Linked DNA regions of Drosophila melanogaster. The protein of the gene in region 2 interacts with the protein of the main gene of each other region in a pairwise test. Each region holds a gene or a part of one and is shown on either strand. Other genes may lie near its edges. The genes, in order: CG4849, fkh, Pex2 and PolZ1.

Region 1 (7,566 bases), 620 kb from region 2:
AAATTCAAATGTTGCCGCCAGGGCTGCAAGCGCTTACTTTATTTGTGCTGGCAATGCCGTAGGTAATGCCGGCCGCTTAACAGCTGAGTGTTTTTCGGGGAAGAAGAAGAACAGCGTGTTTGCAGTCCGCGTTTTTGTGTAAAAATTGTGAATAATTATATTATTTGCAGTTTTCTTACGTTTTAAAGAAGAATTTAGCAATCAGAAGGTCCTGTAACAATTGGTAAGTCGGTAAAAACAACAAAAAACAAGAGTAGCATAAGTTTCGAGTCACCGTGAAAGTTTTAAATTTTCTAAGACGCCACCGGCAAATTTTGAATGAAAGTATTGATATATATATTTATTTTAGGAAAAACCATGGATTCCGATTTGTACGATGAGTTTGGCAACTATATTGGCCCCGATTTAGACAGCGACGAGGAAGATGAGCAAAGTATTTATGGGCAACCCGATGTGCAGGATGACCCAGAGGTATAAACGTGCAAAAAATAAAATAAAACTTATAATTAATTTATGGTGTTTCATTTAAAGGACGCCATGGACGAGGACGAGGTGGAGCCACAGGAGGACGAGGACAAGGAGGTGACCGCCGTGGTTTTGCACGAGGACAAACGCTACTATCCGTCAGCAGTTGAGGTCTACGGCCCGGATGTGGAGACCATTGTCCAGGAGGAGGACGCCCAGCCGCTGGACAAGCCGCTTATAGAGCCAGTGAAGAAGCTCAAGTTCCAGATCAAGGAGCACGTGGGCATCTTGACAGATGCACTGGTGGCCATTAGACGGACGAGGTGAGTTGGTCGCAGGCTCAAGGAAACCAATAGGCAGGAGAAACGCCGCGAGTTTATGGCGCGTAGGGAGCTCTCCAGGCCGAGATGTATTCCGTATCGAGTGGCAAACGATTTGGTCTGCCCGTCGCTGCTTTTAATTGCATTCTGAAGGATCTGACGGAACTGCTGCACTTCCTCCTCCGATAAAAGAGGGCTAAAGTCAAAAGAAACAACCTGTTGATTGGGTTTTTATTGGTTTCTGCCCGCCTCACCTGTGCTGTTTGTAAGGATTGGCTAGAATATTGCGCAGTTTGGGCAGCAATTTCTTTTTGCCCTTAGCTTCTTTCTGTTTTATGCTGGACAAACTCATGTTTACGATATAAACTAATAAAAAATAAAAAATTTCTGCTGAAAAATCAAACAACAATGTGTTTGGCTTTTGGCCAGTGTGACCGCGTTTCTTAGTTTAAAATAAGCCATAGCTTAAATCGCGTTGCCAATTGCTTTACGTTTTTATTTAAATTAAAACTCTTAATTTTTGCTTCTAAAAATTTTTAATCAAACTCTTAATTTTTATTTGCAATCATTTTCAGTACCAGTAAAGTTCCGGCTCCGTGTCCGAAGAGTACTTCAATTTTCTCGGTCTCTGGCGAACGTAATCTTCGACGAAATTCAATTGCCTTGGTGTTGTGGTTTCTACTTGAGTTTCTACTATTTCCGTTGTTGTTAAATTAAATCCAAATGGTGTTGATAATGTAGAACTTTCCTCTTCGGTGCTGTCAATCACTGCATCCAGATACGACGTGGTAGTTTCCACGCCCGGAGTCGTGGCAATGATTTCCAGCAAGGATGTAGTAGATTCCTGGGTTTCTGTGGTTGAAAACAATTCTTCTGTTGAAGTTTCTGCTGTTTCAGTTGTAGTTTGATCTGTGGATAATGCAAACGTGGATTCGTTCGGTTCTGTGGTAGAATCAGCAGATTCAGTCGTTGATTCCGGCAATTCTGTAGTGCTTGGATTGATTTCTATTTCTGTGGTAGTTTTTATTAGTTCTTTCTCTGAAAATTCAGAACTTAAAGTAGTCGTTGATTCCGGAAATTCCGTAGTACTTGGCATAAACTCTGTTGTTGTTGATTCCTGCAATCCTGTAGAGCTCTGAATGGTTTCTGTAGTAGTTTCTTGCCATCCTGTAGATAAATCTGGATAAATTAACGTTGATTCAGCATATTCAGTACTGTCTGAATTGCTTTCTGTCGTTGAATCTGCAGCTTCTGGACTCGAAGTTGTTGTGGAATATAGGGCTACTGATTCAGTGGCATCTATAGCATCTGTGCTGGTGACTTCCGGCCAAGCTGTTGTCGTGGAATATAAAGTATCCGTGGTTGAAGTTACATAACTAGATTCGGTGGTTGAATAATCCACCGCCGTAGTTGTAGATTCCTCAGTGGCACTTTTCTCCGTTGTAGTAGATACTTCCCCAGTGAAGTAGCCAGTAGTCTCCTGCGGATTGGTGGCCACCGTAGTTGTGTCCCAAAAATCTCCATCGAACGGATTGGTAAAATTTACGATGCGCGGCTTGTAGGGTGTGTAGATTTTGGCTTTGTAAGGCTTGTGGTTCTTGATGTATTCCTTGGCTATGCTAATCCACTCCTCGCGACCGAGAATATCGTTTAAATTTCGGCTTGAGGCCACAAAATGCGCCATTAAAAGAAGCAAACAGAATTTTCTCATTATGATGCTGATACCTTCGGTTGACACTTTCGACTAATTACCTTTGGCGACTGCAGTGCAATATAAACGCAAGGGTCTACCTACGTTTCAACGCGTATTTTAGCTACCTGCTTTCTTGGCAAAAACGTTAATTAGCCCTAATGAACTGGAAAATTCAAATGTTGCCGCCAGGGCTGCAAGCGCTTACTTTATTTGTGCTGGCAATGCCGTAGGTAATGCCGGCCGCTTAACAGCTGAGTGTTTTTCGGGGAAGAAGAAGAACAGCGTGTTTGCAGTCCGCGTTTTTGTGTAAAAATTGTGAATAATTATATTATTTGCAGTTTTCTTACGTTTTAAAGAAGAATTTAGCAATCAGAAGGTCCTGTAACAATTGGTAAGTCGGTAAAAACAACAAAAAACAAGAGTAGCATAAGTTTCGAGTCACCGTGAAAGTTTTAAATTTTCTAAGACGCCACCGGCAAATTTTGAATGAAAGTATTGATATATATATTTATTTTAGGAAAAACCATGGATTCCGATTTGTACGATGAGTTTGGCAACTATATTGGCCCCGATTTAGACAGCGACGAGGAAGATGAGCAAAGTATTTATGGGCAACCCGATGTGCAGGATGACCCAGAGGTATAAACGTGCAAAAAATAAAATAAAACTTATAATTAATTTATGGTGTTTCATTTAAAGGACGCCATGGACGAGGACGAGGTGGAGCCACAGGAGGACGAGGACAAGGAGGTGACCGCCGTGGTTTTGCACGAGGACAAACGCTACTATCCGTCAGCAGTTGAGGTCTACGGCCCGGATGTGGAGACCATTGTCCAGGAGGAGGACGCCCAGCCGCTGGACAAGCCGCTTATAGAGCCAGTGAAGAAGCTCAAGTTCCAGATCAAGGAGCAAGACATGCAGGAGACCACCTACGACATGGAGTTCATGGCCGATCTCATGGACACTCCGCCGCTTATTCGCAACGTGGCTTTGGTTGGCCACCTGCACCACGGCAAGACCACCTTTGTCGACTGCCTCATCCGGCAGACGCATCCGCAATTTGAGACCATGGAGGAGCGCCAGTTGCGCTACACGGACACCCTGTTCACGGAACAGGAACGCGGCTGCAGCATCAAGGCCACGCCGGTCACACTTGTCCTGCAGGATGTCAAACAGAAGAGCTACTTGCTGAACATCTTCGACACCCCGGGGCATGTCAACTTCTCGGACGAGGCCACCGCCGCCATGCGAATGAGCGATGGTGTCGTGCTGTTCATCGATGCCGCCGAGGGCGTCATGCTCAACACGGAGCGACTGCTCAAGCACGCGGTGCAAGAGCGCCAGGCTATCACCGTTTGCATAAACAAGGTGAGGGTTTGGCCTTAAGGTGACACTAAACTTTCTAATGGTTTCCTCTGACGTGCAGATTGATCGCCTCATCCTGGAGCTGAAATTGCCGCCCCAGGACGCCTACTTTAAGTTGAAACACATTGTGGAGGAAGTCAATGGGCTGCTGAGGTGATTACGTGATTCATACTCAACACTAATGATTTTACTAATGTGTAATTTTCTTACAGCACCTATGGCGCTCCAGATGACAATCTCTTAGTTTCGCCTATTTTGGGCAACGTGTGCTTCGCCAGCTCGTTGTACGGATTTTGTTTCACTCTGAAATCCTTTGCCAAGCTGTATGCAGACACCTATGAGGGAGTGGCTTACCTGGACTTTGCCAAGCGGCTCTGGGGTGACATGTACTTCAACAGTAAAACGTAAGTGCTGCCTAAATATCCAAATCATTTGCTAATACCAACTATTTTAATAGGCGCAAGTTCTCGAAGAAGCAGCCGCACAATTCGGCACAGCGCAGCTTTGTGGAGTTCATTTTGGAGCCCATGTACAAGCTGATAGCCCAGGTGGTTGGCGATGTGGACACCACTTTGTCGGACACTCTGGCCGAGCTGAATGTGCGCGTCTCCAAGGAGGAGATGAAGTCCAATATAAGACCACTGCTGCGTCTCGTCTGTAACCGCTTCATGGGCGACTGCAGCGGTTTTGTGGATATGTGCGTGGAGCACATTAAATCCCCTTTGGAAAATGCCAAGCGAAAGGTGGACCATATATACACTGGACCCAAAGAGGGTGACATTTACCGGGATATGATATCATGCAACCAATACGGCACTCTGATGGTGCACAGTTCCAAGATGTATCCCAACGACGACTGTACCTTCTTCCAAGTGCTGGCGAGGATTGTCTCTGGTACTCTACACGCTGGCCAGGAGGTGCGTGTCCTGGGAGAGAACTACACCTTGCAGGATGAGGAGGACTCTCGCATTCTGCAAGTCGGTCGTCTGTGGGTATTTGAGTCTCGTTACAAGGTGGAGTTAAATCGTGTACCCGCCGGAAATTGGGTGCTCATCGAAGGCATCGATCAGTGTATCGTTAAGACCTCCACAATTGTGGATATTAATGTTCCAGAAGACCTCTACATATTCCGACCACTGAAGTTCAACACCCAGAGCATTATCAAGATTGCTGTGGAGCCAGTGAATCCATCCGAGCTTCCCAAGATGTTGGATGGCCTCCGCAAGGTGAATAAATCCTATCCACTTCTCTCCACTCGAGTTGAAGAATCCGGCGAGCATGTTATTCTGGGCACTGGCGAGCTGTACTTGGATTGTGTCATGCACGATCTGCGGAAGATGTACTCCGAGATCGACATCAAAGTGGCGGATCCCGTCGTGGCTTTTTGCGAAACAGTTGTGGAAACGAGTTCCCTGAAATGTTTCGCCGAAACGCCGAATAAGAAAAACAAAATAACCATGATCTCGGAGCCACTGGAGAAGGGACTGGCCGAGGACATTGAGAACGGAACCGTCTGCATAAACTGGAACAAAAAGCGCATCGGCGAGTTCTTCCAAGTCAACTACGATTGGGATCTGCTTGCGGCGCGTTCCATTTGGGCCTTCGGTCCCGACTCCACGGGTCCAAATATCCTGGTCGACGACACCCTGCCCTCGGAAGTGGACAAGAACCTGCTGACCGCGGTTAAGGATTCGATTGTGCAGGGCTTCCAATGGGGAACGCGAGAAGGGCCGCTGTGCGAGGAGCCAATCCGTAATGTCAAGTTTAAGATTCTCGATGGCGTCATCGCCAACGAGGCGTTGCATCGAGGCGGTGGACAGATCATTCCAACAGCCCGTCGTGTGGCATACTCGGCGTTTTTGATGGCCACCCCACGTTTAATGGAACCATATCTATTTGTGGAGGTTCAGGCGCCGGCAGATTGTGTATCCGCTGTCTATACTGTGCTGGCCAGGCGCAGGTAAGTTTTGCTGCTCATGTTTCCGTAAGAGAATGCCTCTAAATTTTATATAATCTATTTTGCAGAGGCCACGTAACGCAGGATGCTCCCGTATCGGGTTCTCCCATATATACGATCAAAGCCTTCATACCCGCCATTGATTCATTTGGATTTGAGACGGATCTCCGCACGCACACCCAGGGCCAGGCCTTCTGCCTTTCGGTGTTCCATCACTGGCAGATAGTGCCTGGCGATCCCCTGGACAAGAGCATCATAATCCGGCCACTGGAGCCGCAGCAAGCATCCCATTTGGCCAGAGAGTTTATGATCAAGACGCGTCGCAGGAAGGGTCTGTCCGAGGACGTGTCCATCAACAAATTCTTCGACGATCCTATGTTGCTGGAGTTGGCACGCCAGGATGTGCTGATCAACTACCCGCTTTAGACTTCCCACAAATCAGGAATCGGGAAAACAAATAAAACATTTAGACATACTTTCCGAATTTCAATTGCGAACTTTAAAGGGAGTAGTGTTTTTTTTTACTATATTTACTAAATATTTATTTGAAGCCTTTTCGGGACAAATAATTTACAAAATAGTATACAGAAAACAGCTACAGTTGTGATAGTTTCTAGGACTTTACTCGCCATTGCCGTTCTGCAGGACCTCCGACTCGTAGCCTTCCTGCTCGGCCTGCTCGTCATCGAACTCCACTTCGTCGTCGGCGGTAGCCTCCTAAAGGAGGAAACCAATGGAAATCGTTTTTAGAGATACTTTGCAAGGATATGGAGGGATCGCTAACCTGGTACTGTTGGTACTCGGATATCAGATCGTTCATGTTGCTCTCGGCCTCGGTGAACTCCATCTCGTCCATGCCCTCGCCGGTGTACCAGTGCAAGAAGGCCTTGCGCCGGAACATGGCAGTGAACTGCTCGGAGATGCGCTTAAAGATCTCCTGGATGGCGGTCGAGTTGCCAATGAAGGTGGCGGACATCTTGAGCCCACGGGGCGGGATGTCGCAGACGGCCACCTTGACGTTGTTGGGAATCCATTCGACAAAGTAGCTGCTGTTCTTGCTCTGCACGTTGTACATCTGCGTGTCCACCTCCTTCATGGACATGGGTCCTGTTAATTATTGAGAGAGCGTTGAAACAAAATTGCCTTCGTACAATCTTCCTGTGCGCATTTAAACATTTACATCAAAAGACAAGTTCGCTTTGATGCGCCGGCGGAATCCCCAAATCCCTGAATATGAAATACTAAATGGCTTCCAAGTTCTGCCTGCGCACCTGGCCGGGCACCTGCACTGGGATCTCAGCTCGGAGCTTGGGAATGGAAACAGTGAAAAAGTCCCAGGAGGTAACTAAAAAAGTTGTTTAAATTCCTGCTCGCTGGCATTTTTTCCGCACATTTTTGTGATTAATTATTTTGCAAGTATTTCTGGCAGTCGGTCGGAGACGATAACGAATCCTGAGATGGTGACGCCGGATCTGGGCTGAACCTGGGCTAAGCTTGAGTGCGGGTGCGCTGGAACGCAGTGCAGGCCAAGTCACGTTCGGCATGATTAGTTGGGCCTGGGGGCCGTGTCAGGCGGCGGTCGCAATTCCCCAATGGATCTTGAAAGTAAATTTCTAATTACGCGCGTTTTGCGAGTCATCAGTCAAAAGCAAAGGGGCCAAAGCGGCGCGAGCGCACACAAGGAATAGCAAATGAAATATTATGCGGCACACTTTTGGGCGCCGCATCGCAGTTTATTAATTTAGGAATTAGCGCGAAAAAAAAAA
Region 2 (8,265 bases):
TTTTAAATCGGTCTACGGCAAAAATAATTGCAAATTGATGGCTACAGCGGTGGCAGTCTGTGGTCTGGCATTTATGAATAGATATAGATATAGAGATAGATATATATGTAGATATAGATATGGAATATAGCCGGGCCGCCTTGTCTAGAGAGCTCAACAAACTCTGGAGCGTCTTTAGCGCGCATGTCTGGCATTAAGGCATCGATATATAAATTGTGGACGGGCTCGGTGGGGGTCCGAGTGGGTGGTTGGGTGGTGGGACCATTGGGTGGTTGTCAGTTTAGCCAAACCAACCCCAAAACACAGATTTCCTAAGCCAGCCCAGATGGGGTTGTTTGCCAGCCGGGGTAAAATGAAGAAACTCCGCCAGAACGCTGACAGTCACAATGTCAAGGAAAAATCGAAATTGAAGCGACAACAAACGAAGCGCCATTTTGTTGTCGCTTTTGCTGGAGACCGAGACCCAGACCAAGTCGCCCATACGCCAGGTCCCCCAATCCCACAGTCCCCAATCCCACAGTCCCCAATCCCCTATCCCCTATCCGCCGTACCCATTTTCAGTCCAATACAATCCAATACCGTCGACGGCACGACCCTAGCTAAACAACAAAGCGAACTCTTTATGGAACATCTCCAGTCGGCTTGGAGGCTATAAAAAATGTATTAAAGCCAGTCCAGTCGCCCCCACAGGCACACATGTACATACATATAAATAAAATGTGTCGTATGGACATATAGAAAATGGTGACCTTCTCGCTTAATTAAAAGCGACAACTGCTCGTCAAACACGCTCATGCCCGAGCTCTAGATAAGCAATAATTTTAATGTCTTCGGAATGTCCGAGAATCGTAGGACCTGGATCGTAGATTCTTCCAAATGAATCACACCGATTTTAATCAAAAGGTGGTAGTAGTTCGCCAGGGGGAACTGCGTCGGATCAGGCTCTGTTGGGTTATATTGCAGCGATAAGGTCCATTGCAGCGATAGGGAAGGTGCTCGAACTCGGCTCGTAGTGCTCCATGAATATTACTAGAAAGCAAACAGAGGGGAGTCGAGTCAAGTCGGGCAGAAGATATCCACTACCCTTCCCGCTCTTTTTGGCCAGAGGGATCGGGCTGGGTTGTGCTGGACTGAGATGGGTTAGTCAGTGTGTCAAGTCCGGGCGGGAATGGGTCGGTATAGGACGGTATGGGATGGGCTGGGATGGGTCCCATGTCCCATCCTGGTTGTTTGTTTACCTTCTTGTTCCGTTGCAATTTATGAGTGCACGGCGATAAGGGTTTATCGTGGCATGGTAGTGGTGGAAAACTGCACTCTGCATCTGAGTGACGGCGATAAGATAGCGACTCCTGGAACTACTCAGCTCAGCTATCGGTCGTTCAATTCGAATTCGCTGCATTGATAGCGTCGATAGCGTCGATGGAGATAGTCAGCCATCCGGGCGGCCCAATCAATATATAAATGATTGTTGGAGGTCAGTTGCTTGAGTCAACAAAGGTTGGGAAATGAAAACTAATTTATGGTACTTTTTTTCCTTTTTCTTGTATTTCAAACATTAAAATAGTCGATTTTGGTTGTCGTTGACGTTGTGTTTGTTTTGCATGATTTATAATAATATTAATTTTACTAGCTTTAGAGTTGGATTTTAATTCTTGCGTTGACATTTATTGAATTTTATATTGTGTATTTTACAATAATTTTCATTTGTTTCTGTGTCTGTCAGTGTCAGTATGTGTGTGTGTGTGTGGGTGTTTATATTTAGACTATTTTTTATCAAGTTTAATTAATTAGCTTAGCTCAATGTAAAAATGGGTCTTTGTTTTGTGTTTGCAATTGGTTTTTTATTTTTCATTACGCACAATATAACTAATATTAAAAATTATTGAATAATAATTGCAGTTTCGCTTTTTATGTGATTTTTTTTCATTTTTGTTTTTTGCTTTCATTATTTATGCTAATTAAACGTTAAATGCTATACAGTATTTATATTTATACTATGTTTACTTTCAAGTGGTGTGGCATAATTTCATACAATTTGATTAATTCTCGAGTTAGTTAAAAATTGGTTGCTTGCAATGGGTCCTTAGTTAAATTGGGTTTCTTGGGGAGGGGGTTGCTTAAATGTATCTATTTATAGATTATTTACAAAATGCCTTAATCTAACGAATTCGTACAACAACAGAAGACACATAATGTAAATGAAATGCGGGATTTTGCGATACATGGGCGTATATCGATGCGCGTATATATAAATGGAAATTTGTTAAATTATTCAGTTAAAACGTGTCGTTTTCTTATGCATGGCCAGATTTTGTTGCTTAGATAGTTGAAGATTCTTAGGGTTTTGCTGGACTGCTCAATATGATGATTTCGGTTTTAGATTTCTTTTTGGTTTTGATCTTTTGCGATTCGAATTCGATTGCGATTGCCTTTGGATAAAGGGTTTAGTATTTGTATCTCTCTTTTTGGGACTGTTTCATTTGGGGCTTTGTTTTATGAAAGAACATTACACACGATCCCTTCTTTACATCTCCTCTCCTCAATCTTCTCCTTAATCGGATACATTTAAAATGTGATTTCAAATTTTCAGTTATAACCGCTTTGATTGTTATTGCTTGTTTCGAAACAACGAAAACAAATGGCACGGAATTATTATTTTGTATTTGTATTAGCAAAACGTAAAATTGTTAACAAAAGTTCTGCTGCACTTACAACTACATCACGGTTTCTTTCGCTCCTCCTCCTCCTGCTCTATGTCGATTTAATAACCCCCCGGAACAGAATCTATATAATCTACAATATATAGTACTGGAACTGAACAACACAAAAGGCAGCGCTCTCGATCGGCTCTTCATAGGTATCTCTATATGTACAAGTGCGAGTTGCGGCCCAAGACTCACGTGCTCAAAGGATGAGGATGCGAGTGCGGATGCGGATGCGGCCAGGTGCTAAAAGCCACCGCCACTGCACTCGCTAATTGGCAGGCCCGCTACAAAGCCGCTGCCTGTGGAGATCGGGATCTATAGCTATAGCTACAGAAGATTCTGCAGAGCGGCGGCTCCATTGAAAGCCAGGCCGTGATTCCAATTTCTGTAGCCTGCCGCCGCGGCATACTGCTGATAGTTGTTGTACAACTGCTGCTGGGCGGCCTGATGCTGCTGCAGTTGCTCCTCGCTCAGATCGCTGGTGATGTTCGATGAGTCCTCCTGCAGTTCCTGCAGCAGTTGTTGCTGCTGCTGGTGGTGTTGCTGCTGCGCCGCCGCCTGCTGTTGTTGCTGCTGCTGGTGCTGCTGTTGCAGCTTCTGTGAGTAGTTAGAGCCCGATCCTGAACCCGATCCTGACCCAGATCCCGAGGCCGAAGCCGATCCCGCCTTGCCGCTGGCCTTTGCTGATGTTGCTGGTGTATTGGAAGCGGATGTCAGTTGCTGCGCCGACTGCTGCATCTGCTGCTGCTGCTGATGCAGCTGGTGCTGCTGCTGTTGCTGCTGGTGTTGCTGGTGCTGCTGCTGCAAGTGCTGTTGCTGCTGCGAGCGCAGCATCTGCTCCGCGCGTCCTTAAGCCAGCGGGTATTGGTGATGTCACAAGCTCGTGGTTCCGGCGGGCGCATGGTAGCCAAGACTCTGGTAGTAGGAGTCCTGGCCTAAGGCAGCGTGTGAGTTGGTCAGCGGACTGAGGGCGTTGTAGCCGGCGTACTGGCTCATGTCGTACATCTTGATGTCCGCCTTGGACTCCGTGGGCAGCAGGCGGTTGATGGAGAACGGATGGCTGGAGGGCGTGTAGCCAGAGGGCTCCTGCTTCAGCGGATGCATCGACGAGTGGTAGTCGGTGATCAGCGACGGATGGCACCGATTGGCCATCATCGCCGACAGCTCCTCCTGCTGCAACTGGTGGTGCTGATGGTGGTGATGTGTGGGCACATGCTGCGGCTGCTGGCTGAGGCACAGTTCGGCATTGGCATGCAACATGGCCAGGGCCTCCGCGTCCTTGCTGTGCGCTGCACTCAGGACATTTACGCCGGCGATCGATGCTCCGCCCGCCTCCTTGTGGTGCTGATGATGGTCCAGCCGGCTGTGGTGGTGGTGGTGCATGTGGTGCGAGTCCTCGTGATCCTTCTTGCCCGGACTGGTGGCCTCCAGGCTGCTGTGCGACGGACTCTTGTGCAGCTGCCTAATGGCCTCCTTCTTCTCGTCCTTGAAACGCTTCTGTCGCCGCAAATAGCACCCGTTCTCGAACATATTCCCCGAATCCGGATGCAGAGTCCAAAACGATCCCTTTCCTGGCTTGTCCGGCGTCCTGGGAATCTTTACGAAGCAATCGTTGAAGCTCAGCGAATGTCGAATGGAGTTCTGCCAGCGCTGCTGATTCTGCCTGTAGAACGGAAACAGATCCATGATGAACTGATAGATCTCCGAGAGCGTCAACATTCTGGTGGGGTTATTCTGAATGGCCATGGTGATCAGTGAGATGTAGCTGTATGGCGGCTTGGCATGCGTGTAGCTCCTTCTGTACGTAGTTGGTTTGTCCACCCGCGATCTGCCTAGGGAATTCGGCGATCCCGTCTCCATTTCCCGGGATCCCGGCGGCATGGCGCCATAGGTGCCGCTCAATCCCGCCGCCGACATACTCGCTGCCGACATGGCCATGCAGCCACCCATGTTCCCGAGCGGTGATCCCATGCTGGCGTAGCTCATCGAGCTGGGGGTCATGCAGTTGCCGCCCATTGAGTTCATGGCCGCCGCACCCATGCTGCCGTTCATGCTGGCATTCATGCTGGCGCTCATACTGGCACTCATGCTGGCGCTCATGCTGGCGACCGCCGCCGCCGAGTCCAGGACGCTGGAGCTGAATGTGGCCGCCGCCTGAGGGGAAACCGATGACATGCCACCCACCGGCAGGCCCATGCTGTTCATTGTGTAGGCGGATCGAGCCAGGGGACTCATGCTGCCGCCGTTGCTCGTCGGATTCGGGTTGTTATTGCTGGGCGGTGGGGGCCCACCGCCTCCTCCTCCGCCGCCGCCTCCACCGCCGCCCGACGGAGGACCACCGCCACCCGAGCTGGCCATGCTCACCGGAGCACTGCTCGGAGGCGGCTCCGCGTAGAGCTTCTGCATGATGTCAATGGTGGTCTGGTGGGGGCTACCCTTCAGAAAGCTGTTCAATAGTTGCGCCGTTATGTTGCCGGCTTTCGGAGGCGCTGCCCTCTGGTGGATCGATGGAAAAGGCAACGCGTTCTGCAACGCGTTAGTTAAAACGAAAATCAAAAAGGAGGTCTTTAAAACGTGGCTTTACTCTGATATATTGTATATCAACTGTGATTTCAGTGCACTATCACTGCTTCAATCGGTTTGCATATATCTGGCATTTTATCGAGAGCACTTCGGCACTTGTCACTTGTTGGCTGGAAGGTTCTGATTCCGTTTGCGATTCTGATTCTGATTCTAAGCTTTGTTTGTAAACACACACCGTGGTTTAATTATTTGTGCGGGATAATCATATAAAATATATATTTATTTTCTGTTATGATTCGATTCTTTTTGTATTTTCTTTGTATTTTTGTATGGGGATTTTTGTTGTCTGCCGCACCGAGCGGCCACAAAACACCGACGCACGAACGTGAATATCTAGCTGGCTGTTGGCCACTGAAGTCTGAAGCTGGGAGTTGTGCTGTGCTGTGCTGCTGCTTTTGCTGCTGCTGCTTTTGCTTTTGCTGCTTTGGCTGATGCTGCTGTTGCCGTTGCCGCTTTAGCTGCTGGTCCGCTCGAGTGTCTCTTTGGCTTGAGCTCTTGAATGTGACTGTTTGCAGAGGGGAACGCTTGTCTACTATTTGGCTTGCGCTTGCTGCCAACAAATATTGTTCGAGCCGCGCTCAAGTGCCTCGGCCGACGTCGGCGTCGACAGCGGCGGCAGCGGCAGCAGCGACGCGCCCGGGCAGCACCAGCTCCGACTCGTTCTCGCCAATGGCCCGGCGGTATAGTGCGTCTCACCACCACCCTGGCGGAGTTACCAATGACAGGCGGCGGTTCTCTTACGTACACAGTGGTGCTGCGGCGCAAGCGCATTGGTCGGTTGGCCTCTTGTATCAACAGAGCAGGGCCGGTTGCCAGGCAACTGGCCATTGGGGGGGCGTGGCCAGGCCGCAGTCAGCAACGCCCTCCACTCACACACCCTCAGCGGTGCGGACAGAGATACACGGGCAGAGATACCGGATACGCATACAGCTGCAGATACATTCGCAGTGGCCTAGCCTAATGCTGAGCGACGCCATGTTACAGTTAACGATTTTCCCTAATGCGATCAATAATCGCTCGCTCTCCTTCTCGCCGTAGCGTGCTATCAGAAAATAAAAAGAAAAAATGTGGAAAAAAAACCATTAAGACGGGTTCTGGAGACCGAATCTCTGGGGAGACTGAGAATGCGACGACGCTCTGTTTTTCGAGAGAAACAAAAAGACCGAGTGTTTTGGCCTGGCCTGGCCTGGCTTGGCTTGGCTGGGTTTGGCTCCCAAACAAGACATTTAATAATATCTGTGTGTGTTTTTTCAGCCAGTTTTTTTTCGTATCCGTACCGCTTTTTCCCTTTTGAGGTTAAGGTATGCCAATGTCACTCTCATTCATTCCCATTCGCATTCGTGGCGAGGCATCGCGAGCGGCAGCAGCAAATCATCAGAACAGCGGCGCAGTTCACCTTTTTGGCAAGTCATTGCGAAAGTGACCCAGTTCTGCATCTGGCCAGCATCAGCCGCATCTCATCCGAGCATCCCACTGCATCCTACCTAAGATACCCGAAACATAAGCATCCACAGTTCATTGATAGCGCGTGCTGGCAGCTACTTCCTGGTATCCTGGCAATTTATCCACGTTTATGGTCCCGGATAAAACGCATTCTAATTTCGGGCCATAAACCATAGACGCCTTTCCTATTCCGCTTAACCCTTTCGCTTGGCCAAGTGTATCTGCGAGTGCCTGTGTGTGTGTGTCCGTGTGCGAGTGTGTGCCAATCCGTGAGAGTGTATGTGTGTGAGCCAGGCTCATTATTGCGTGTCATAAAAGGACGATTGTCTCGTTTCTCAATGAATGTTTTGCTCAATTAAGATCTACCTGAGCGGGAGGAAAAGCGGGGAATTTCCGCATTACTTTTCCATTTGTCAATGCAGCAGTTCTTTCTCCTCTCACTTTTTTGTAGCCTTCATCTAGGCGCTGAGACATTGAATTTTTGAAATTATCAATGAAATGTAATGAAACATTTCGCTTGTGGGAGAAATCACATTTTTATGATCGCCCCATTTCCGAGTAATTATAATGACTAATGACTTATGTCATATAGAGCCGTTTCCCCTTCACAAAAGCACTACTGAGTAATATTTTTATCATATTCAAGATTATCTTCAAATTGTTTGAATAATTGTTTACAATAACCATGGGTTAGATAAGATTGAGAGATAAGCGAAACTGAATCAGGAAAAAATCTTTCGCTCAACAATGGTATTCATAATATTTAACCTGTTTAACATTGTTTGGCTTGCCACTCGGATATCTATATCCCATCGTGATGATCATTAAACATCAAACACTTTCGGTGACTGAGCACATATGTACTCAAATCCTTATGTGCACTTCTAATAACCGTAATGTGCTTAAATATTTAATATTTTTATTGTATTTCACAGGCAATTCAAGTGGCTTTGGCTCATTAATGTTTGCCGTGTGGGCGTTGGGTTGGTAGGTATTTTTGTTGTTCAGAGCGCATCAAATGTGTGCTTTTTTGGCGTAGACTCTCTGCAAATAGTAATGCCAGGCAGTCCAAAAATGTGTACTTATTTACCTTTAGTCATTTATCTATTTATTTATTTGCTTTAAAAGCGCGCCACTGTAGGTCGGATTCACATGGCGATTTACATTGCGATTCGGATTCAGATTGGCTGCCTTTTTGATACAGTCGGATGTATTCGGCTCTAAGCCATGGTCAAACTTTTTAATTAGTTTCAATTGTTGGCGCCCAACGCATCCCCAAATGGTTATTTATGGAAAATATTTGCTTTACTACTTTTTTGCCGCTTTGTTTTGATTTTCGTTGATATGGCTTTAAAATGCTGCGCTTTCTGTTTGTTTTAAGCATTTATGTGACGCATGCGCCGTGTGGCAATGACTTTACAAAATCATATACATATATATCAACCGGAGAATTTGACCAACATTTCTCAGATAGATGACGTCCGCAGCTGTATCTGTTTCTATATCTATATCGGCGTGGTGGCATAATACGAAT
Region 3 (5,370 bases), on a different chromosome or scaffold from region 2:
TCAAGAGACGCTCCGCTCACCGAAGACAGCAAAGTCGCTGCTGCAAACCACCGCTGCTTGAATCCACCGAGCCACCGAACCACCGCTGCCAGCCGATTCACTTTCTTCCTAACCATATAAAAGCGGCGCATTTTGGTTGCAACCACATTATTCAGTGGTGAAAAGTCGTTGCGTGCAGTCAACCAGTGATCTCCAAATAAATCGCGAGCTAAAACTCAAACTAAAATGGCATTCAAGGTGAGCAGCAGCAGCCAAGGATAAAGGATAACGATTGTGAACAACAAACTATACAGCAAAAAAATATCCTAAAGGATACAGCAAAACGATCTGAGGATCGAGTGATATTTAAGAAACCAAGTGATTTGGTGGTGAACGAAGTGGAAAAGGTGTTCCAAATCTCCAGCAATCATTAAAAGGATATTCATATTAAAAATGTGATTTTTAATTTCAATATGCAATGATTTTTAATGGAAACAAATTTTATTAAACATCGGAACAATAGGATACTGTACTATTTACTATACTAAAGAAAAATTATAAATGTAGAGAATGACAGACTAGGAGCTCAAAGAAAGGCGCTTTTAGTAAAATATTCGTCAGGACCACTAAATTTCAGTTTAAAAATCATCCTGACAAAATTTCACTAAATCAATTTAGCTATTTTGTGCTAATTAAAAAACCAATTTAAAGACAACCTCAAAAACCACAGTTCAAACAAAAGCACCTATTAAAGTAAATCGTTTTAGGATTTAGGAAAAAACTCACACTTTTGCTTTAGTTAAATAAACCTCCCGCTTAGTTAACCAACAAATTTGCAGTCAGCCAGTAAACCACAAAGTAACCACTAAAAGTATATCCAAACAAAAGCGTCAGTCGACCACAGCAAACACTTGATTATGAATTCATTAAGACCAGCAAGAGGAAAAAGTCCGAAATTGCAAAGCAGCCATAACATGGATAGCTACTGTCTGTGGCCAGCAAGTCCTCCAACGCTAATTGCAGCACTTGCAACTACACACACTCCGTCAACGGAAACAATTAGTTGCTAATTATGCACCCACCTATCTGATCTTGCAGTATCTGATCTTCGCCTCGGCTCTGTGCCTGAGCCTCGCCTATCCGTTGGAGCACCAGTACTACGAGGAGAGCCATGGATATGAGCACCTGGCCCATCACGAACCGGAGCCCATCCATGAGTATGGCCACCATCAAATCGAACGCATCTCACTGGGCGAGGAGCACGGTCACCTCGAACACGCTGAGCCCCACTACGAGACCCACGAGTCTCACGGACATGATGAACATGTGGATTACTATGTGAGTATTGTTTCTGAAATTCAAAATTACACTATAAACTATAATCAAAGAGATGATGATGATGAAATGTTGTTTCTTAACAGGCTCCTCCCAAATATGCTTTCAAGTACGGCGTGAATGACTTCCACACCGGAGATGTGAAGTCGCAGCACGAGACCCGCGATGGTGACACCGTCAAGGGACAGTACTCCCTGGTGGAGCCCGATGGTTCCATCCGCACCGTGGACTACACCGCCGACAAGCACAATGGATTCAACGCCGTGGTCCACAAGACCGCTCCAGTGCATCATCATGAGGAGCTGCACGAACACCACTACTAAGCTAGTACACACTGCGCACTAGAGTTAGCCAAATTGCTCATCAGCCGGAAGTGGGAGGAGGATTATGAGGACTAGGAGGAGGGACAAGCATATCCACATCGGTCGACCATGGAATCAGCTTCATATCTCGTAATTAGGACATCAGCACACACCCAGGCCAAGGATCACATCCTGTCCATGGCCATTTCATTAACATTTTGTATATTGTATTTTATTCTGTGATAGCGAATAACTTCTATGTGTATCTTCCGCTTTCAACTGATCCTTAGTCACTACCTGCTCAGACGAATTTACCGATCACTACTCGACTGTTTGCCTTAATCTTTAATCTATAATCTATAATCTGTAAACTGTAATGTATACTTATGTCTTCTCGTAAAACAGAGATCGAACGAAGAAATTGTAAATTGTGTAATAAAGTGTGAATTATGTACTTTTTATAAAATCAAAACTCACCCGACCACTGGCCATAATTTTTTCAGCCGGGGCCAATCATTGAACTTGCACTCCTCAAACAAATGACCAAATGTCTCAGCTGACCAACTGGTTTATGCGTTTCCAGACGTAAACGGCAATGGGCAAGATTTCCACAAATTACCAGACATCGTTAGACACATTTTCCGGATCCCAAACGAGTTCTTCAGTTCATTGTGGTTTCTTGTATTTGTTTTCATTGAAATTGCATAAGCCTTAATTGAAATGTTGACGGAAAATGCTTCCTAAATGGTTAAAAGACTTGGAGTTTCTTCGAAATGTCGATGTAATTGATATATAAGCTGATTTCAATTAGCAATAAATAAAAAATCAAACCGCATTGCTAGTATGGCTAGTTTAAATTTGGCGGGGTTTGTCGATATAGTTTACCAGCACTGTTTAAAAATGTCGATAATGACTAGTAAACTTTCTTTACAATTGCCATCTCTAATTGATAAGAAAGGGCAGAGTACATATAAATAAGAAATATATCAATGGTCAGCTAACCAAAGGCAAGAATATAAACAAAATAATGGAGAAAAACAAATATGTACCACGTGTAAATCAGGTGAGCTAATTATGGTGAGCTATTCATGAATTAAAACCACTAAAATTATACATGTTTACCTTTTAGATAGATGCCATCTATTTGAACAAGGACATTGCCCGCCTGATACGCGATAATCTGCTGGAGAACTTGCAAGCCATCTCAGTGAGTATATGAACACTACCATAATTGGCCAATATATACTGTATATCTCTCACAGCCCGTTTTGTTCATCAAAATCCAACCGGAGCTCGACTTGATCATTCAATCCGCAATTTGGTTTGGTTCCGTCGGCAAGCGGTGCTCCACTTTTGGCCAACAGCTACTGGTTCTGGCTTACGATGCCGAAAAGCTGACCGTTTCCAGGCTGGTGCTCCATTTCATCCTGACCGTCTTGCCGGGCTACGTGAAGAGCTGGGAGGAGCGACGCTTAACAAGGCGCGTAGAATGGTTTAGCGAGGCGATTATGTGGGTGGAGAACAGTGCCCTGATACTGAACATCCTCAATTACTTTCGGTTCCTGAAGACAGGACGAAAACCCACTTTGGTGGACTACTTATTGGGATTGGACTACATTAGTCTGCGGAACAATCAAAGGAGAGACATTGGCTACAAGTACCTAACGAGGGAGCTGCTGTGGGGAGGATTTATGGTGCGTGTTAGTTAGTTTGCTTATTATACATATATATTACAGTGTATATTATAGGAAATCCTCGGACTGGTGTTGCCCATCATCAATTTCCGTAAGCTACAAAGAGTGCTAAAATCATGGACATTTTCCGGACGACGGTTAGAGGATAGAGATGGTCCGGCTTTCCTGGCGCCGCAGATGACACTAAGCACCACCTGCACATTCTGTGGAGAGCGACCCACATTGCCCCACCACATGGGCTGTGGTCATATTTATTGCTATTACTGCCTTAATGCAAATGTTTTAACGGATGCCAGTTTCTGCTGCCCCAACTGCGGTTCTGCGTGTCCTGAGTCGGGAATCCAAAGTGTCTGATAAATAGGAATATAGTGCATGTGATGGTTTTATATGTCTTTTATTAGTTTTAAGCGAAAAGTGGGCTGTAAGTAATAAACAAATCATTTTCATATTCCGCCAAATGTGTGTACTTTTAGTGTTAGCAAGCAGAGTAGTGTTGGTAGTCGTACAAAAACAGCTATTATTTACTTGCCCAGTGCCAGGAGTCGTGCGATATAAACTACATAAAAAGTGTATAATTAAACGAAAATAAAAAGCAAAAACTGTTTAGGGCGAAGTATAAAGCCTTGCGGATCCAAAGTTAACTGCTGATTTTCCAAGAACAACAGTTAAGATCAAAAAGTAAGTTCTAAATCCCTATCTTTGGTAAATAAAAAGCGCGCGAAAATATGGGAACAGCTGTTGCATTCTCAACCAGCGTTGCCAAATGTGGCAAATAAATTAAGCAATTATATGAACTCAACTGTTAAGTAGCTCTAACCGTATTTAAGCCACTAGATTAGATAGATAGACTAAGAACATGATTAATATTCATATTTTTTGGGTGGCAAAGCCACACCCAATTTGTTTTGCAATTTCGCGAATCAGCTGCCTGCGGCGATGTGGCAACGCCATTACTTTGTTATTATCTCATTTTTCTGCTGCGCATTTCGTCTTTGTCCGAATTTTTTTGAAGAAAACAATACAATTAATCGCTTCACCAAGAACACGACAAGTAGTTGGAAACCCACGAATTAAACAATTTTTTTGGAGTTGCGTAATTGCATAAAAATAAATAAAGGCATAACCAGCGAAAATAAGAAAACGAGAGCAAACAATTGAAAACAGAAAGTGCTGAAATAATAACAAATACACTTGGCCATCAATTGCGTATATATATAATTGTTTAAATATATTCGCAACGCGAACTGATTTCACATATCAAGGTCAGTAAGTTGACGACTCGCAGCAACAACAATAACAAACCAAGATCCCTTAAAAACCCCCAGGTGAAAATGCTAGATCTGGAGATCGTGCCGGAGATTTCCCTGGGCTGCGATGCCTGGGAATTTGTGCTGGGCATGCACTTCTCGCAGGCTATCGCCATCATCCAGTCGCAGGTGGGCATCATCAAGGGAGTCCAGGTGCTGTACTCGGATACCACTCCCCTGGGCGTGGACATCATTATCAACCTGCCACAGGATGGCGTTCGCTTGATCTTTGATCCCGTCAGTCAGCGTTTGAAGACCATCGAGGTTTTCAACATGAAACTGGTGAAGCTGCGGTATTTCGGCGTATACTTCAATTCCCCGGAGGTGCTGCCGAGTATCGAGCAAATCGAGCACTCCTTTGGAGCCACACATCCTGGGGTTTACGATGCAGCCAAACAATTGTTTGCTCTACACTTTCGCGGGCTGAGTTTCTACTTTCCGGTGGACAGCAAGCTGCACTCGGGCTACGCCCATGGACTGAGTTCTCTGGTTTTCCTGAATGGCGCCTCACCCGTCGTGTCCAAGATGTCTCTCTACGCAGGCAGCAATGTGTTGGAGAACAGGGTACCATCTCTTCCCTTGTCCTGCTATCACCGCCAGATGTATTTGGAATCGGCCACTGTTCTCCGAACCGCCTTTGGTCACACGAAGGGTCTGAAGCTGAAGCTCTTTACTGAGGGTTCAGGAAGGGCTTTGGAGCCACGCCGTCAGTGCTTTACGCGAGAGCTGCTCTTCGGCGATAGCTGCGAGGAT
Region 4 (9,730 bases), on a different chromosome or scaffold from region 2:
GTACATACATACATATGGTATGTACATAAATAGAAACATCGTTCCTTTGGGATTGGGATGACTCTCCCAGGCGAAGCACAGATACTTATTTGTGTATTCACTGCATATCTCAGCAAGTCCGCCCGATATAACCTTCACACGCCCTTGGGCTTACACAAGCAACGTTCTTCATTCGATGCACAAGTTTTATTTTTCAAATAGCTGGCATTTAAATACAGTAACAGGGCGATACTTTATTCAACAACAATAAATATGTAGCTTTGCGTAATTATGGCTATTTTGTGCATTTGAAAAAAAAGCATCCTCAATTGCGCCCCTTGCGGATTATGCAACAGTGATTCCCGACCAGCTGCTGGGCGCCGGGTTTGTACGATAGTTTTGGCTAGTTTAGTCCTTGCTCTGCATATACTTGATCAGGTCGATGACGCGGTTGGAGTAACCGAACTCGTTGTCGTACCACGAGATTAGCTTGACGAACTTATCGTTCAGCGAAATGCCAGCCTTGGCGTCGAACACAGACGAATGGGTGTCGCTGAAGAAGTCGGTGGAGACCACCTCCTCATCGGTGTAGCCCAGGATTCCCTTCAGGGGTCCCTTGGAGGCCTCCTCGACCTTAGCCTTGATTTCGTCATAGGTGGCTCCCTTGCCCAAGCGGACGGTAAGATCCACAACGGAGACATTGGGCGTGGGCACGCGGAAAGCCATGCCGGTCAGCTTGCCGTTCAGGGCGGGGATGACCTTGCCCACAGCCTTGGCGGCTCCGGTGGCGGCCGGGATGATGTTCTGGGCGGCGCCACGTCCATCGCGCCACAGTTTGCCAGAGGGACCGTCGACGGTCTTCTGGGTGGCAGTGGTGGCGTGCACGGTGGTCATCAGACCCTCGACGATCTCGAAGTTGTCATTGATGACCTTGGCCAGGGGAGCCAGGCAGTTGGTGGTGCACGAGGCGTTGGAGACCACCTTCATGTCGGGGCTGTAGGCGTCCAGGTTAACGCCGCACACGAACATGGGCGCATCGGCGGATGGGGCCGAGATGATGACCTTCTTGGCGCCGCCCTTCAAGTGGGTGGACGCCTTGTCAATGGTGGTGAACACTCCGGTGGACTCCACCACATACTCGGCTCCAGCACTGGCCCAGTTGATGTTGGCCGGGTCGCGCTCGCTGAACACGGTGATCTTCTGGCCGTTCACCACCAGGAATCCGCCCTCAGCCGCAACGGTGCCCTTGAAACGACCGTGAGTCGAGTCGAATTTAAACAGGTAAACCATGTAGTTGACATCGATGAAGGGATCGTTGACGGCCACCACGGAGGCGCCCTTATCGATGGCGGCGCGGAGCACCAAGCGGCCGATGCGGCCAAATCCGTTAATTCCGATCTTCGACATGGCTGAGTTCCTGCTGTCTTTTCACTTTTACTCTCGTTCAGTTTCAGTTCGCTATTACGACTGCCGCTTTTTCCTTTTCCCGGAGCTTTTTTCGCAAATTAGGAGAATGGCGCTGCGATGGCGGGGGAGGGTTGATGAGTATTTCGCTAGCTTTCTGCGTAGGTCACACTTAAATAAAGCTAATGTGAAATAAATCGATTAGAATTCCATTTAAAACTTTAATTTTTACAAAGGGTTTGATTATATAAGCGCCTTAAAAAGAGCCTCTAACAACTAATGATATATATGGGTTGTAGGACCCTTTACGTAATTAAGTTTATACAAAAATTAGCATTGTCAAGTATAAAATTCCTTCATCTTGCACTAAAGTTTTTCTTAACATTGTTGCCAAGTTAGTTCTTTAAGTTCTAGAGCTCTTCTTTCAATTTAAAAATATTTATTTTACGTTTTTGCCCTTAGTTTGAATTCAAAAAGCAACAATCGATAGATCGATACTTTTCGATACATGGTCACTCTAGTTTGAATTGAATTGACAACAAATAGCTCTGCGAAAACGAATCTGAGTTTTGGCGAAAATGGCAGCCGCAGGAGAGGCAATCGATGGAGTCTACTCCGTCCGGCTGGTCATCGCGGATTTCTATATGGAGAAGCCGCAGTTCGGAATGGATCCGTGCTATTCGGAGCTGCGCGGCAAAGAAATCAAGCGGGTGAGCCGGTCTATTTCACCACAGTAAAAACTGGTATAACGATCCATTCCACTTCCAGGTGCCAGTGATTCGAGTGTTTGGCGGCAACTCCAGAGGCCAGAAGACCTGCATGCATGTACACGGAGTTTTCCCCTATCTATACATTCCGTATGACAAGAAGGATTTTGAGTCCCTGGAGCGGGGCATCCTGCAGATGGCCATGCACCTGGACAAGGCCATCAACATATCCTTGGGTCAAGGCAGCTCCAACGCCCAGCATGTGTTCAAAATTCAGCTGGTCAAGGGCATGTGAGTTCTTTCTGGACGACTTCTTGGCGTAAATCTCTAACCGACCTCTCTTTACAGACCCTTCTATGGCTACCATCGAGTGGAACACCAGTTCCTCAAGATCTACATGTTCAATCCCCGGTTCGTACGCCGCGCCGCCAACCTTCTCCAAAGCGGCGCCATTCTGAGCAAGAACTTCAGTCCGCACGAGTCGCATGTGCCCTACATTCTGCAGTTTATGATCGACTACAATCTGTACGGTATGAGCTATGTGCATGTCCCGCTGGAGGTTCTCAAGTTCCGGCGCAACCATGACGATGACGGCAAGCTGGATACATCATCTATTTAAGTTCCTAACTAACCCGTAACTAACCCTTTAGTAATCCCCTATGCAAATGTCAAGCAAGCGCAGCTTCTGGACATCACAACCGCTAAGAAAGTGGCCTGCAGTGCTTTAGAGGTGGATGTCAGCTCGAACTTCATACTGAATCGGTTCCAGCTGGTGGCGAAGAGTAAGAGCAACCACACTAACCCCGGCATCGAGGCCATCTGGAATGATGAGAAATTGCGCCGACAGAAACTTGTCGAGAAGCACACCGATGCTGGCGATGAGGAGAAGGCTGAAGCGGTAATCCGGGAATACATCTTGTATTGATAAATCCTACAGCCTTGTCCATCCATCGTAGGTGCCAGTATTGGAGTTACCGCCAACACAGGAGCGGCATCAAATTGAAATCGCCGAAAGCGATATCTTCTACCGCACCGCTCTGGAGAGCAAGCTGATGACACTGGAGCAGTCCACACTGTCCGAGCAAACGTTGTCGGATCAGACAATCCTTCCCCAAGCAACCATGCAGACCACCATGCCCGGCACAAAGGCACAGAAACGCAGGTTTAACTTGCAAAAACTTCTAGCCAACGCCGTTTATCCGGAGGAATGCTCACAGGATCAGCAGCAACTGCTGGTTAATGCTTCCTTCATACAAAACCATGTTACCTGCGGCTACAGCAGCAGTGTCAGTTTGTCAACCTCCAAGGATGAGTCCGATGACTTGGACGAAACTGTAGTGGATGAGGAACTAATACTGAGCCTCACACAGCCTCATGGAGCGATACCCCATGATGCCACCTGTGAGTACACGGTTGCCAAAATTACAACTCGCACTTTGGTATAAACCAGTTGTTTTCTCCTTGCTTCAGTGAGGGAGGAGGATTTGGAACTTTTGGACGCGTTGCAGCTGTTGGAGGAGCAGAATGAAAGTGAATCGCATGTGGACTTAGACAGTTCGTTGGCTCCATTGTCGCAACATAAAAAGTGTGAGTTGTTGTGAAATGGAGTTGTTTTTTAATAAATGTTTTACACTGATCTCTTTTTGTAGTCGAACTTACACCCGAATTGTTGGACAAGGAGACCGCAGCTACTGCTGCTCTTTTCGACGAAGATGTTGACTCCGACGAGGATGCCGACCAAGAAACCCGACATGACTTCTCTACCGTCCTAGACGATGTCGATGAGTTGTTGCTTAAGTTAACACAAAGTCAGCCTGCGGAATCGAAGGAACTGAAAGCATCTAGTAAACTGCCCCAAATTGATGGTGCTGATGATCGCCTACAAAGGACCCCCATTAAATCGATCAGCTCTAAGTCAAAGTCAAGTCCTTCAAAGACTCCAACAACGCCAATAGGTCAGAAAAGTCTTCCCAAATCGCCACGTACTCCGAAAACCAGTGCAGCCAAGAAATATGCGCCGCTGGCTTTGACAATTGGAAGCAGTTCATCAAAGAGTGGGTAGAATTGATAACGATCACACGAATTTTTTTTGCAATCATAACCAATTGCAGAAAGCAACGATGAATTCGCAGGGAGACCATCTAATCCACGCCTCAGTTTGCAGCTAGACCAAGGAACCGGAACGGGAACACTTCGGTAATCAAATTCTTTGTTTTCATCATATGTACCAACATTTCTATGACCAACATTTTTGTTCGTAGGCCAGAAATCTCATTGCGCAAAAAACTAGCCATGTCGGAGATGCGACGGAAAAGTTTCGAGGACAGTTTTGTGCTCTTAAAGAACGAGTATGGTTAACTGATATCCTTTATGGCAAGGCGATTTATATTATTGTTTTCCCGATAGTTGTACTCCAGTTAGGAGTACCAGACGATCAACTAGCAATCTGGACAAAACACACATTATTTGTTCCCTTACGCCGAGGGACAGAAATCCTGGCTTGAGCGACATGTTCGAAACAGAGGACGGCAAGCAATTACCACCAAAGAAAGTAGTAAGAAAGACGCGATGGAGCACTCGGAATCAAGATATAGAAAGTCTACCCAAGGCCGGTTGTGAGATAGAGAGACCCCACAGGTCAGAAGGAAGTGCCTTGGATGAGCTGAAGCCGCGTCGCAGTGCTCGCCATAAGGTTAATTCGGCAAATCCAGATGAGTGTTCCAGCGAAATACAAACAACTGGGCCACGAGTGACGACTACAAGTTTGGATAGACCTCAAAAGAAAGCCAGACTATCCCAAAGTCCCAAAGAAAATACTAAAACAAGCATGAATGGAACTGTTGCATTGGAAAAAGCAACAAAAGATAGTTCATCTAACTCAGAGAGTCCGCATCAGCAGGAAAACTCTGTTTCTGAACAAATCGAATATCTCGAAAGTAAACCAAAAAAGTCTGATGAAACTGCACGAAGCTGTGACGAAAAGTTACAACGTGAGCTAATTCCACAGGAACCAGCTGGTATTTCGCCTGGAGATTCAGCAAACTCCACGGAGGAGATCACATTTAGTCCATGCCATGATGAGGCTATCGAATCCGACACGGAAAGCGATTATATAGTCACCAAACTTCGTAAAACACCCAACTTGAAACGCCTTCGATGGAGCATTCGGTCGGAGTTGCTGAACAAACAATTTACTCCCAGTTCAGGCATAAGACCCCCTGAGACTGAGACCACTCCTCAGCTAAGTCCCAAAAGCAATGAGAGCAACACACCGGAGCTGATGCGAAGTTTCTATGAGCATTCGCTGATTGTGAACAGTCCGTCGGTCTTCAGTGACTTCTTGGATAGCCCCGAGATACATATGGATTCTCCTAGGTCTGCTCCTCCATCTCCCGATAGCAACTCGTTCGTGATTGCCCCCTTGGAGCTGCCTCCATCCTACGATGAAGTGGTTAGCGGTAGCCGTAAAATGGACATACCCGAGTACGAGTTCCAAAAGCCATACTACAGCAATCCCTCCGATGTGAGCAAGGTGACGGAGGTGGGCTTCCTGGTGCTCCACATTCCGGGGAACAAGCTAAATGACTGTGATCCCTTCCAGAGCATACTGGGCAATGATCGTGGCCTGGCCTCCTGGCGTCGTCGGCAACTGATAGCCATTGGTGGCCTGGCAATGTTGCAGCGACATCGGGGAGAACAAAAAGTACGGGAGTATTTCAGCACGCAACAAAGAATAGCAATCGAGCCAGCACAACTAGCACCCACCTGGCAGGAAGCCAAGATCTGGTTGAAAGCCAAGGAACTCCTTCGTCAACGAGAGGAACCAAAAAAGTCCTCTGATGACATAGACAGCCCCATCAAGATCAAGCGGCAGAAGATCACTATGATGCTGCAGGCTGAGGAAGGCGATGGCGGAAGTGGCGATGAAGATGCTGGTGAGGAACTCGATTGCAGTCTAAGTCTAACGCCCTTGTCCCAAGCTAAGGATAAATGCAAGGCAACCCCTACCAGTAGCAAAGCCAGAGAAACAGGAAAGAGTCGCCTTAAGCGCGGAACTAGGCTCAGCTTCATAGGAAGCCAGGACGAGGAACCACCAAGCTCGCAGTCCAGCGAACAGAGCGTCTCCAGTAGTGCGGCCCAGGCGGAGCTAGATCGTAGTTCCTTTCTGCGCCAGTTAGAGGGCAGTAGCCAGGATAGGCAGCACGACCTCAGCTTTGGACTTAGCCACGCTACCTTGGACAACACGTTCGGGTTCAAGGTTAATTTGGAGAATCTGCAGCAGGCCAAAGCCGACATTGATTGCAACCACCTGACAATCATAACGTTAGAGGTGTTTGTGTCCACGCGAGGTGATCTCCAACCAGATCCGATGCACGACGAGATTCGGTGTTTGTTTTATGCTATCGAACACAGTTTGCCGGATGAAAAGCTGCCTAGCAAAGCCTGCGGCTATATAATGGTGAACACTGTCCAGGATTTGCTAAGTGAAGGACCTTTTCATGGTATAGATCGCGATATTGAGGTGCAAGTAGTGACCAGTGAAGCGGAGGCATTTGAGGCGTTGCTGGCTTTGTGTGAACGGTGGGATGCGGACATATACGCAGGGTACGAAATCGAGATGTCCTCTTGGGGCTATGTGATTGATCGGGCCAAGCATCTGTGCTTCAACATCGCTCCTCTGCTGTCCCGAGTGCCCACACAGAAGGTCCGGGACTTTGTGGACGAGGATCGGGAGCAGTTCACCGATTTGGATGTGGAAATGAAGCTCTGCGGCCGCATTCTGCTGGACGTATGGCGCCTGATGCGCTCCGAGATTGCACTGACGTCGTACACCTTCGAAAACGTAATGTACCACATTTTGCATAAGAGATGTCCCTGGCACACTGCCAAATCCCTCACCGAATGGTTCGGCTCACCCTGCACCCGCTGGATAGTAATGGAATATTACTTGGAGCGTGTGCGTGGCACCTTAACTCTCCTGGATCAGCTGGACTTACTGGGACGGACTAGCGAAATGGCCAAGCTCATTGGCATTCAGTTCTACGAGGTGCTGTCGCGCGGCTCACAGTTTCGCGTGGAAAGCATGATGCTGAGGTGAGTGTAACCCTTGAGCGCAGGCAAAATATGTTGCATCCTCCCTGAACTCTCTGTCTTCATAGAATCGCCAAGCCAAAGAACCTGGTGCCACTTTCACCCAGCGTCCAGGCTCGCGCTCATATGAGAGCTCCCGAGTACTTGGCGCTAATAATGGAACCGCAGTCACGATTCTATGCCGATCCCCTAATCGTGCTTGATTTTCAGAGCTTGTACCCCAGCATGATCATCGCCTACAACTACTGCTTCTCCACGTGCTTGGGTAGAGTAGAGCACCTGGGTGGAAGTTCGCCCTTTGAATTTGGCGCGTCGCAGCTCCGAGTTTCGCGGCAGATGCTGCAGAAGTTGCTGGAGCACGATCTGGTTACTGTTTCGCCATGCGGCGTTGTGTTCGTGAAGCGTGAAGTGCGCGAGGGCATCCTGCCGCGCATGCTCACCGAGATCTTGGACACGCGCCAAATGGTCAAACAGTCGATGAAGCTCCATAAGGACAGCTCTGCACTTCAGCGGATCCTTCACTCACGGCAGCTGGGCCTTAAGCTGATGGCCAATGTTACCTATGGCTACACCGCCGCTAACTTCAGTGGCCGAATGCCTTCAGTGGAAGTGGGCGATTCTGTAGTTTCCAAAGGACGGGAGACCCTGGAGCGTGCTATCAAACTAGTGGAGAACAACGAGGAGTGGAAGGTGCGTGTCGTCTATGGCGACACGGACTCCATGTTCGTTCTTGTGCCGGGTCGAAATCGAGCTGAAGCTTTTCGAATCGGCGAGGAGATCGCCAAGGCGGTCACCGAAATGAATCCACAGCCAGTGAAGCTAAAACTGGAGAAGGTCTACCAACCTTGCATGCTGCAGACCAAGAAGCGCTACGTGGGTTACATGTATGAGACAGCCGATCAGGAGCAGCCCGTTTACGAGGCGAAGGGAATAGAAACTGTGCGGCGAGATGGTTGTCCGGCGGTGGCCAAGATGCTGGAAAAGGTGCTGCGCATATTGTTCGAGACGCAAGACGTCAGCAAGATCAAGGCGTACGTGTGCCGGCAGTTCACCAAGCTGCTGTCGGGCAGGGCCAATCTGCAGGACCTGATTTTCGCCAAGGAGTTCAGGGGTCTCAATGGCTACAAGCCCACGGCTTGTGTGCCAGCACTGGAGCTCACGCGGTAAGCTACGAGACATTCCTTCTTTGCCATTCCTGAATTGTATTATGACCATTTTCGTTTTCAGTAAATGGATGCAAAAAGACCCACGACATGTGCCGCGTCGTGGCGAACGCGTCCCCTTCATAATAGTCAACGGCCCGCCGGGCATGCAGCTAATCCGCCTGGTGCGCAGCCCGCACGACATCCTGGCCAACGAGGGTCACAAGATAAACGCCATCTACTACATTACCAAGGCGATTATTCCGCCGCTGAATCGCTGCCTGCTGCTCATAGGCGCCAATGTGCACGACTGGTTTGCCAGTCTGCCGAGGAAGTTGCTCATGACGCCGGCCGTTGGAACCGCCAACGAATTGGCGGGTGCACGCGGTGCCAAGTCCACCATCTCCCAGTATTTCTCTACCACCAGCTGCGTGATCGACTGTGGCCGCCAAACCAAGGCGGGCATTTGCCCAGACTGCCTGAAAAACGCCACCACGTGCGTAGTTGTGCTCTCAGATAAGACAGCGCGTCTGGAGAGGGGCTACCAACTAACTCGGCAGATATGCCAGGCTTGTTGCGGACGCCTGGGTAGCCTACAGTGTGATTCCCTCGACTGCCCAGTGCTGTATGTCTTGGAGGGAAAGCGAAGGGAACTCCAGCAAATCGAGCACTGGAACAAACTCCTTGAACACCACTTCTAATGCCAATCAATACTCGTATGCAGGTTGGATTTCTCATTCATAAGAGATGTATATGTATTTTAACTTGCAGCTCGCTTATAAAAGTTAAAATTACATGCATTGATTCAGCCAGTGCTTCTAAACATGTACGTAGCTTATACTCTACTTATGCATTGGGTGATTTTGTTGTGTGTAATACTAGAGGAATTGTTAACTATTGATATTGTTTAGGTTTATCGTGTTATGATTGTTATATGAGCTGAGCATGGAGCCAATAAACAAGCGTTTTAATGTTTACTTAAAACTTGTAGTTTGCTAACTTGTAAGACATCATTGTTGTGTGTTCTTCAATGAGAATGAATATGAAATTATCGATCTATAATAATAGGTTTCTTTTTCAGTTCAGCGTAGGATTTCATCTTGCGTTTTAACAATTTCAATGTTTAACCGAATTACATAACACTTAGTATTTGATGTAATGAACATTTTGATTTCTGATTTAGCCCTGATTCGTGTTGCCTAAATACAATTTTGTGTATTTCCAATTGAGCAATTCGCCTCGATATAAAAGGAATTACAGTATAAATATTAAAAAAAAAAAAACGTTGCGTTAGTTAACATTTATGTAGTAGCATTTAAAAACCTTGAAAACATGCCACTAAATCACTCAAAAAATATGAATATATTTATGGTTTAAATAACATCCTAATCATCCATTTCAAACATC

Evidence for each region.
Region 1: the proteins of fkh (region 2) and CG4849 interact in a two-hybrid assay, tested with the Drosophila melanogaster proteins (one large-scale study listed by BioGRID).
Region 3: the proteins of fkh (region 2) and Pex2 interact in a two-hybrid assay, tested with the Drosophila melanogaster proteins (one large-scale study listed by BioGRID).
Region 4: the proteins of fkh (region 2) and PolZ1 interact in a two-hybrid assay, tested with the Drosophila melanogaster proteins (one large-scale study listed by BioGRID).

The regions. Positions count from the first base shown.
Region 1 is NT_033777.3:27,960,685-27,968,250, forward strand, and holds CG4849 (uncharacterized protein), read left to right. Parts: upstream 1-2,730; 5' UTR 2,731-2,869; intron 2,870-2,995; 5' UTR 2,996-3,003; coding exon 3,004-3,117; intron 3,118-3,177; coding exon 3,178-3,846; intron 3,847-3,904; coding exon 3,905-3,996; intron 3,997-4,055; coding exon 4,056-4,247; intron 4,248-4,300; coding exon 4,301-5,803; intron 5,804-5,868; coding exon 5,869-6,226; 3' UTR 6,227-6,274; downstream 6,275-7,566. Other genes in the region: CG31131 (uncharacterized protein), read right to left, coding at 1,357-2,496; betaTub97EF (beta-Tubulin at 97EF), read right to left, coding at 6,422-6,517, 6,585-6,907.
Region 2 is NT_033777.3:28,579,443-28,587,707, forward strand, and holds fkh (fork head), read right to left. Parts: upstream 5,823-8,265; 5' UTR 5,112-5,822; coding exon 3,579-5,111; coding exon of another isoform or gene 3,033-3,578; 3' UTR 1,534-3,032; downstream 1-1,533. UniProt on the Drosophila melanogaster protein: Fkh promotes terminal as opposed to segmental development. In the absence of fkh, this developmental switch does not occur. The nuclear localization of the fkh protein suggest that fkh regulates the transcription of other, subordinate, genes.
Region 3 is NT_037436.4:8,336,512-8,341,881, forward strand, and holds Pex2 (peroxin 2), read left to right. Parts: upstream 1-2,539; 5' UTR 2,540-2,643; coding exon 2,644-2,679; intron 2,680-2,745; coding exon 2,746-2,823; intron 2,824-2,878; coding exon 2,879-3,310; intron 3,311-3,364; coding exon 3,365-3,664; 3' UTR 3,665-3,765; downstream 3,766-5,370. Other genes in the region: Cpr66Cb (cuticular protein 66Cb), read left to right, coding at 226-237, 1,078-1,317, 1,401-1,637; CG7083 (uncharacterized protein), read left to right, coding at 4,642-5,370.
Region 4 is NT_033778.4:7,791,735-7,801,464, forward strand, and holds PolZ1 (DNA polymerase zeta subunit 1), read left to right. Parts: upstream 1-1,890; 5' UTR 1,891-1,961; coding exon 1,962-2,093; intron 2,094-2,151; coding exon 2,152-2,381; intron 2,382-2,438; coding exon 2,439-2,683; intron 2,684-2,740; coding exon 2,741-2,988; intron 2,989-3,046; coding exon 3,047-3,491; intron 3,492-3,560; coding exon 3,561-3,677; intron 3,678-3,739; coding exon 3,740-4,144; intron 4,145-4,201; coding exon 4,202-4,286; intron 4,287-4,351; coding exon 4,352-4,438; intron 4,439-4,496; coding exon 4,497-7,184; intron 7,185-7,249; coding exon 7,250-8,344; intron 8,345-8,408; coding exon 8,409-9,024; 3' UTR 9,025-9,310; downstream 9,311-9,730. Other genes in the region: Gapdh1 (glyceraldehyde 3 phosphate dehydrogenase 1), read right to left, coding at 388-1,386; Nop17l (Nop17 like), read right to left, coding at 9,709-9,730. UniProt on the Drosophila melanogaster protein: As the catalytic subunit of the DNA polymerase zeta complex, plays a crucial role in translesion DNA synthesis (TLS) and various DNA repair mechanisms. Lacks an intrinsic 3'-5' exonuclease activity and thus has no proofreading function.